Rattus norvegicus: one gene and its partner. The protein of the gene in region 2 purifies or fractionates together with the protein of the main gene of each other region. This does not show direct contact. Links are inferred from orthologs where the notes say so. Each region holds a gene or a part of one and is shown on either strand. Other genes may lie near its edges.

What was found. The genes of interacting proteins can lie anywhere in the genome.
Region 1: the proteins of Pak1 (region 2) and Git2 purify together in Homo sapiens (affinity purification with mass spectrometry; 5 studies listed by BioGRID and IntAct, with this or other methods). This does not show direct contact. The link is inferred for Rattus norvegicus from reciprocal best matches to the Homo sapiens genes PAK1 and GIT2.

What each region holds. Positions count from the first base shown.
Region 1 is NC_086030.1:47,521,194-47,525,212, forward strand, and holds part of Git2 (ARF GTPase-activating protein GIT2), read left to right. Parts: intron 1-289; coding exon 290-538; intron 539-2,225; coding exon 2,226-2,315; intron 2,316-4,019. UniProt on the Homo sapiens protein: GTPase-activating protein for ADP ribosylation factor family members, including ARF1.
Region 2 is NC_086019.1:161,612,848-161,616,866, forward strand, and holds part of Pak1 (serine/threonine-protein kinase PAK 1), read left to right. Parts: intron 1-1,917; coding exon 1,918-2,092; intron 2,093-3,910; coding exon 3,911-3,974; intron 3,975-4,019. UniProt on the Homo sapiens protein: Protein kinase involved in intracellular signaling pathways downstream of integrins and receptor-type kinases that plays an important role in cytoskeleton dynamics, in cell adhesion, migration, proliferation, apoptosis, mitosis, and in vesicle-mediated transport processes.

The DNA of each region.
Region 1 (4,019 bases), on a different chromosome or scaffold from region 2:
AACCTCTTCCTCGAGACAGCCTTAGAATAATCCAGAGTACAGCTTGTCTGTACCGGTTCTCTGACCCCACCATGACAACTCTTTAGGTGGTTAGGCTTGAGTTTCTCATGAGCCTGTGAGGTGGAAAAAGTAGGTTATTCTGGAAGGAGGAGGGGGGTTGTCATGGCTTCCCCATTCAGTCTAGCTAGCTTTATGCTCTCATGAGGTCGTGTTATGTTGGAATATTTGACGTTTGCTTTGTCTGCCTGCTGTGCAAAAACAGAGACCCACTGCCAAACATTTCTTTCAGCTTCAAACTCTACAGAGTGAGAACTCAAGCCTCAGGAGACAGGCCACAGCCAGTGCCTGTCAGGTCCAGACTGCCTCTGACCACAAAGACACTGTGAGCCACTCCTCCCTGAAGCGCCGGCCATCAGCCCGGGGCAGTAGACCCATGTCCATGTATGAGACTGGATCAGGCCAGAAACCATACCTCCCAATGGGAGAAGCCAACCACCCTGAAGAAAGCCGGACAAGACTTCAGCCCTTCCCCACTCATGTAAGTAGCACCAGTGTATGTCCATTCTGCTGTGCAGTGTGACTGTTCTCCCTCTTCTGCCCCTGCAGATCTCTGGGCGCTGAGAGGGCCCCTGTGTGTGCTGAACGGATGTCTGCAGGTGCATCTGGTCACACAGGGCTTGAGACAACCTCTGTTGGCATTTTTTCTGTAATGCTTCCTTCCTAGGTTCTACAAACGAAAGCCAATTGTAAAGGTTACTAACAGAAATGTCTGTCTTCATAAAGGCAGAGGTTGGGGCTGGAGACGTGGCTCGGGGCTTAAGCACACTGGCTGCTCTTGCTGAGGACTTGGGTTAAGGTCCCAGCACCCACGAGGCACACAGCCCACTCCCAACCAGCTGTGACTCCAGCTTTAGGGGATTTGACATTTCCTCTGGCCTCCAGGGCTCTGCATGTACATGGCACACATACAAGCAGGCAGAACATCATCCATAAAATAATCTTTTGAAAAACAACCAGGTAGGCAGAGACATGCCCCCTGTATGAACTGGAACTCTTGGGCCCCAGGGTGCTCTTTTGGGCCTGTGACTGGATACATGGAGCTGAGACAGTCTTGGCTTCGGCATCCTGGTTACGGACCTCAGCATAGGCTAGTAGTATGGCTTGGTTATCTCCTAAAGATGCAGGGTAAGCAAGCATTAAACCAGCACACTCAGGAAGCTGAAGCAGGAGGATTGTCTGGACCACATCAGATCTTATCTCCAAAATATCATTAACAAACAAAGAAGGGAATGTGTAAATAACTGATGGTGGACGTCGCTCACAAGCATCATCCGCTCACAAGCCTCGGTTCCTAAGGCTGCTCTGTGGCAGGCTCTCGACGACACCGTGGTGCACATGGGGATGCCAGGTTTTCAAACATTGAACTCCTCTGTCTTCTGGACTGACTTACTGTGAAGATGTCTGTCTCCACAGCGTGCTCCAGGCATAAACTGCCCTTCATAGTTCTTCCTTCAGAGTGTGGTGTCACCCTTTGCAGTGTCAAACTGGTTTCTTGCAAGTACATAGAGCACTTGACTAAGAGTCTAGGGCACTGTGAAGTACATGCTAAGCTCTCAGGAAGTAACCAGTTCTGATTTTGCGAGACTTTAGCATGGTAAAACTGCAGCACTGTGTGCACCCAGGAGTCACAGCCTCTCTTTATTTGGGTTTAACGCTTGAAGACCAACCATTGACCTGGTCTATTGGCCACTGAACTGAGTGAAAAGGAACCTGACTTTTATATAACTGAACGTAAATGAAGGCGACCTCCCTGGCAGCGTAAGCAGTGTATGTGATCCTAGAGAAAGTGCGGCTGTGGTTGTGCTGCCCCGTCTGTCCTGAGGACTGGGGTGATCGTATGCCCCAATTCAGAGTCATCCATAGCACTATGTGGTGTTTCCTTCTCGACGGGAGAGCAAGCGTCATTGCAGGCATTAACAGTGTGTGCTGCCAGTTTGAAGCCATGCCAAGTGTAGCGAGACGGCTGTGGTATCTTTTCCTTAAGGACAAGTGGCCTCCTAAGTGCAAAGTGGTTTCCAGCAGGCTCTTGCCTCATTAGAGATTACTGTGCCAGGGCTGTCACTGAGCTCCTGCGTGTGTGCGTGGGACTGTGTGAGCTGTAGGGTGGGAAGTGGGGACGTGTTTGTTTTATGTTTTCCCAAGCTTGTTTCTTTCTCCACTTCCAGATTGGGAGGAGTGCACTTGTGACCTCCTCTTCGTCTCTGCCTTCCTTCCCCTCCACACTTTCCTGGTCCAGGGACGAAAGCACCCGAAGGGTTAAGTACACTCTGACCGGTTTGCCCTGGAGGAGGGGCAGTGCTCCTTGGTGCTTTGTGCTTGGGAGCTGGCCCTTGTGCCCCGGCCCTTGCTAACAGCCCCCTGTCCTGCATGAAGCAGCGCTTTGCTCCTGGTTTCTCACAGCAGCAGGCACGTGCAGCCATGCACCTCTGACCTGGAGAAAGCTGGCCGGCTTCCACACTGTGCGCCTCCACACTGTGTGCCTCCACACTGTGCGCCTCCACACTGTGTGCCTCCACACTGCCTCTTCTCACCTATTTAACCAGCTCACAGATCATGTAGAGCGCACGTTCTAAGCGCACTGTCTCCTTAAGCAAATGAAACTTTAGCTAGCTACTGGTCACATGTGATAGGGCAGTCCACCCAGTTATTAAATTTAAAGTGTATTTGGGTCAGCACAAAAGTGTCACGGCTTTTTTTTAACTGCTGACTTACTTTATGTTAGCGCCATCATATCAAACAAGTCCCGGCCAGGCTCAGTTGTCCTGGTGTGCTCACAGAACAGAGGGGAGATGGCTACAGGCTTACAGCTCTCCACTTGAAGTAGTAGGCCAGACCCTTCTGCTGGTGTGGGACTCACACTTCAGTGGCCTCCCTGGCACCCACCTTTAAGAAAGGCCGCTAAAGGGTATAAAAGACTTAAGTGACATGGTCCCTGTTCCCAAAGGGACATTGTGTAAAAAGAAAAATGTTTTCATGTGCACAGAGAGCAGGCTGGTTTCCTCCTGTGGAAGACTGGGAGGGCCTGAGAGTCGGAGGCTGACCCTTCATATTCCAACTCAGTCTGTCTGTAGCAAGGGTAAAAAGAAGGAAGGGACCTGCGAGCAAGAGACCACCTTCCCCAGCAAGCCTCCATGTAGCCGCCACCCCTCAGAGTGCTGAGGACCCCTGTCCACTGCTAGGGCCACTGGCTACCCAGGTCTCTTTGCTTGGTACTTACAGTGTTTTGAGTAGCCCTGTAAGAGCACTGTAGCCTTTTGTTACAATGCCAGTTAAAGAACAGCAGGGTAATAAGGGACCCCCCCATTTTGTCAGTAATTATGTTAATGAGAGTCAGGTAGGCCCAGGTGACTCACCATAAAATTTTGTAGTTTCTCTGATTTGTGGCGTTTTGGTAGCTTTGAGAGGGACCAGCCGCTGAAGTGGTTCTGTGCACACTGAGCAGTGACGTCATCCAGGACCATGTGCGCCTGGCAGCGCTGCCCTGGTCAGGTTTCTGTGGTTTGTCTGTGCAGAAAGATGGCATGTTGTTCAGTAACTGACCCCACGCCGGCTACAGGGAACCTGTCTGTTAACAGCTCGAGAGAGCAGCACTTGAGCTCTCCTGGCTCTGCATGCTCACTGTAACTCTCACAGACTTACATGCTGGCTGCACTGAACCCATATGCTTTGACGGAGGAGGACTTAGTCCGTAAGTAATTTTGCACTGCACTTGAAGAGCGTTTCCTGAACGCTATTAGTGGGTGTGTCTCCCTCTTCTGAGATTTTCAAACAGACATTGGCACTTCTGGTCACTCTGGTAATGTATTCAGTTTCTAATGTCATCTTGACATCAGGGAAAGCATCATCTGTTACAGACATACGAGATTCCGGGAGGCAAAAGGATTGCGAATTTAAGCAACAAGTCTCAAAACCCAAAGTATATGCTGTGGGGTATTAATACTGTCTTCTAGATTTCTCTC
Region 2 (4,019 bases):
AAACACTACTCATGTTTGCTTTGGCTTTTTATTATGAGAACTCCATAATGACAGAACATCTAGGACTTAAGCTCAGTGCTGATTAAATGACTCATGTGAGGTGCTGTGGAAGAAATCCATTTAGATGGCCTATCTCTTAGCCTAAGAACTTATAAATAGAATATGGATTTCCTTGTCTGTAGGTCACAAAGTTACCTTAAGGAAAGTAGCCTGCTGAATCAGTGAGATGTCACTGTCTCCCTTGAGTGTCCTGTTTGTGTTTCTGTATGGCATTGGTTTGCAGGCCTACTTATTTAACACAGTCTTCTCTCTAAAGTAGAGAAAAATCTACTTACCTATCAATGTATCTATCACTCACTTATCTATGTGTTATTTATCTTTTTGGTACTTAATATAGTTTGGGCAGAAAGATCAGAGAGAGAGGGCAGTAAATATTGAATACTATATTGATAAATGTGCTTTTCTTAACATTCATCTCTGAAATAAATATTGCTAAGTCCTAATTTATAGAAGCAGACGAGGTTTGGATAAGTAATTTGATCTAGTCATAATCACTTAGTAAGCAAATGTCAGGGTTTAAGAGCAGATAATTAAATCCAAGTCCAGATTACATTCCATGATAGTGCACATACCACATATAGTTTTGTGTGTATAGACATGCACTGGGAACCAGTTAAGGAGAATGTTTTAGAGGGAACAGACAGGTCATCTTTCCTCAAGGGACTATAGGTGGAGAAGCAAAAATGTTTAAGTATCTGGAATATAATTGTTCTACATGAATAGGAATAAAAATTGAGACATTATTTTGCTAGGGAAGTCAGAAAGCCAGTCCTGTTGAAACATCTGATAGGTCCATTTGTTAATTGATTCTGTTTAAATACCCAAATGCCTGCTTTTTATTAGGCTGGAGTTAGTTAGAGGATTCAGGGAAGAGTAATGTGTGCTGTCTCAGTAGACCCTGTAAATAATCAAAAAATAATTATGAATTTTTAATGATAAAAATCTGACAAATACACATCTTCTAGAAAAGGGAGTGTAACCTGGGAATACTTTCTTCTTTACCTTGGTAGTATAGAGTTTCTCCTTTCTTAATAACATCTCTCCTTTGCTTTTGTAACAATTACTTTCACACTTCCTTTTTCAGCGTGAGTAAAGCAGTGTTTTGTACAGAGCTAGACGTACCATAAATTCTCAGCAAATATTTGTTAAACAAACAAATGGATAGGAAATAGAATGTCTCTAAAAGCTGAGGTTTGAATGCTAATATCTGCTGCTCGTGGCCATGTCATTCTCACATGTTGATTTATTATTAAATAAGGTGGGTGTCACTGTTTTATATAGACAAGGAAACTGAAGCACAGAGAAATGAAGTAAACTGGTAGAAGTCATTCAGATAGTAATGAAGCTGAGAATTAAACCTGGGCCATCAGGTTTCCAAGTTTGTTTTAAATTATTGTACCCTTCTGCCTCTTGATGAATAAGAGTAGTTAGTTCATGGTAAGAGCTCAACAGTTCAAGAGGGAATAACTCCATAGAAAGCAATGTCAAGTGTTGCAAAGTGTCAGGTACACACAAGATTCATCTCAGAAAAAACAGAGTCGATACTCTGGGTGAGGAAGGTTTCCATCTAATGATAAAATCTCCAAATTTTTACTGAGCATCGTCTAGCCATTTTGGAGTGATTTCAGTGCTAAGGCTATCACTAACCCTTCTTGTAAAGTGAGAGCAAAGGAAGGTTGTTTTACCCAGGACAAATGGGCTGTGGCTCAGAAGAGGACTAATGCAGATTTTGACATATAAGAGAAAGGGTAACTGGGGAAGGGGGAAGGTTCCTGGGATGTTCTAACTAGAACATTCAGAAGAGGTTCCACTATGCTAACAAAGGCTGCTTTGCCAAAATTTCCACTGATTATGCAGGTATATACACGGTCTGTGATTGAACCACTTCCTGTTACTCCAACTCGGGATGTGGCTACATCTCCTATTTCTCCTACTGAGAATAACACCACTCCGCCAGATGCTTTGACCCGGAATACTGAAAAGCAGAAGAAGAAGCCTAAAATGTCTGATGAGGAGATCTTAGAGAAATTACGTAAGCACTTTATAGCTTTCTTGAATCTTCACTCCGTCTGTGACTGATTAATCATTGAAATGGAATGCTGCAATAAAGATCTGGCTCCTAGGTTTTAGCCATGTGCCTGGCTGGCTCTGTAACTCCTGACCTATAGGCTGTAAGGCTTGCTCATCATCTGAACTTTCACCCTGTCTGTGTTCACCAGCTCTGGGTGTGTATATTGTAGGATAGAGACAATAGAGAATGTGGGCAGCTCACGTTGAGTGTTACGGACATAACCAATAGCTGTTATTTTGTGAGTAGTCTAGAGTATTGTATGGAGAAAGATCGAGGTATCGACTCTTCCTGGTGGAAAGGGTGCTCTTGTTGATGCTTGCTATTGACCTAGGAGAGGACAATTCTGCCATCATAGTTATAGAAAAAGAAGGAAGGGGGGAAACCAATGTTTTATGAGCCTGTTCTGTGTGGAAATGACAAGCAAGATAGTTTCTTGACTTTTTAAATTGTATTGAAGTTACTCTGAGAAGATACTCAGGATAATCTTCATTTATGCAGTTAAGGTTTTTAAGACCCAAAGATTCTATACCCTGCTCCAGATCATAGAGCTGCAAAGGTCAGATCAAGATGTGTTATAAATAGAACATATCACCTATTATAGTACGTGTAGGTTGATTTTTATTTTCTATTTTATTTATTTATTTTTTTGTGGCCTGGGAAATCATTGAAAAAGGATTTGATGTACTGGTTTGATCAAGTTTGTATGCTCACGTTGCTTTCTAAAGCAGAGCTTTGTGGTCTAGTTTGGCAGCTTCCTGTTCTTTTTAATAATTCTTGTTTAACCCTTTTGTTTGTTCAGTTTATTGTCTTAAGAATTGCCCTTGCTAGGGCCCTCACAATGAGGTAAAAGCCACTCCTCGGCATCTGTGTAATCATGTGTACTCCTGATCCCTAAATAATAATATAAGGCATTATACAAAGCAGTCTGGCCTGGACAACTTCCTGCTGTCCTTCGAGTCTCCTTTCCTCTTCACATCTTTTAAATAGTGATACTTACACTTGATTTGTTTTAAATCAAAAGATATAATACCATATGTGAGAAGCACCAAATCCTAGTGGTTGGGGTATCAGTGGAAAAGCTACTGGGCTGAGAGATTAAGAACCAGCCTTGGCACCAGTTAATGTATGAGTTTGGAGAAGTATCTTCCCTCTGTGGGTTTCAGTTCCCTGCCCTAGAATCCCACTGTGAGACCCGTGGGCTCTCTCATACTTCTGCGTTTTTTATTTAAAGTGCCCCCTGCTACAGAGTTCTCTTGGCTTTCTTAACCTGGCTAACTTATACTTAAAATCAAAATCAGTCCAGGCAGCGCCTTTCTGAAGCTGTTCAGTCTCTGTCTGTGCCTTTTGCCATTCCCTATCCCTTCAGCACTGACCACAGCAATCCTGTATTTTTGCAGCACCTTCCATTTGCTCCTCTTTTCCTTAGATTGAGCTTTTGAGAGTAGTGACTGTCTTAAATGTGCCTCATCTTTTTCTCTTTACTTGTAGCACTCAGCATACAGTCTGGTATGCAACAAATGAATAAATGTTAATGAGTTAATTTAAAAATTAATAGCTCCTAGGAGTTTGGAAAAGGAGTAAATTACTATTTAAAAAACAGTATATATAAAACTTTCGGTTGGGATTTATTGGAGGAAAGTTAATTGTCTGGCTGGTATGCTTTTGGGAATTGGATACAGTTCTTTAAAATTTGCCAACTTAGGGAGTTAAGAGGATCATGGGAACTCTTGTGTATCTTGAGGTTCTACTATGCTAACATGGTCTCTGTTTCTTTCACAGGGAGCATAGTGAGTGTGGGCGATCCTAAGAAGAAGTACACACGCTTCGAGAAGATTGGACAAGGGTTAGTAGGGGCATTCTGTTTCCTTGGAGAAATATCTTAAAGTTG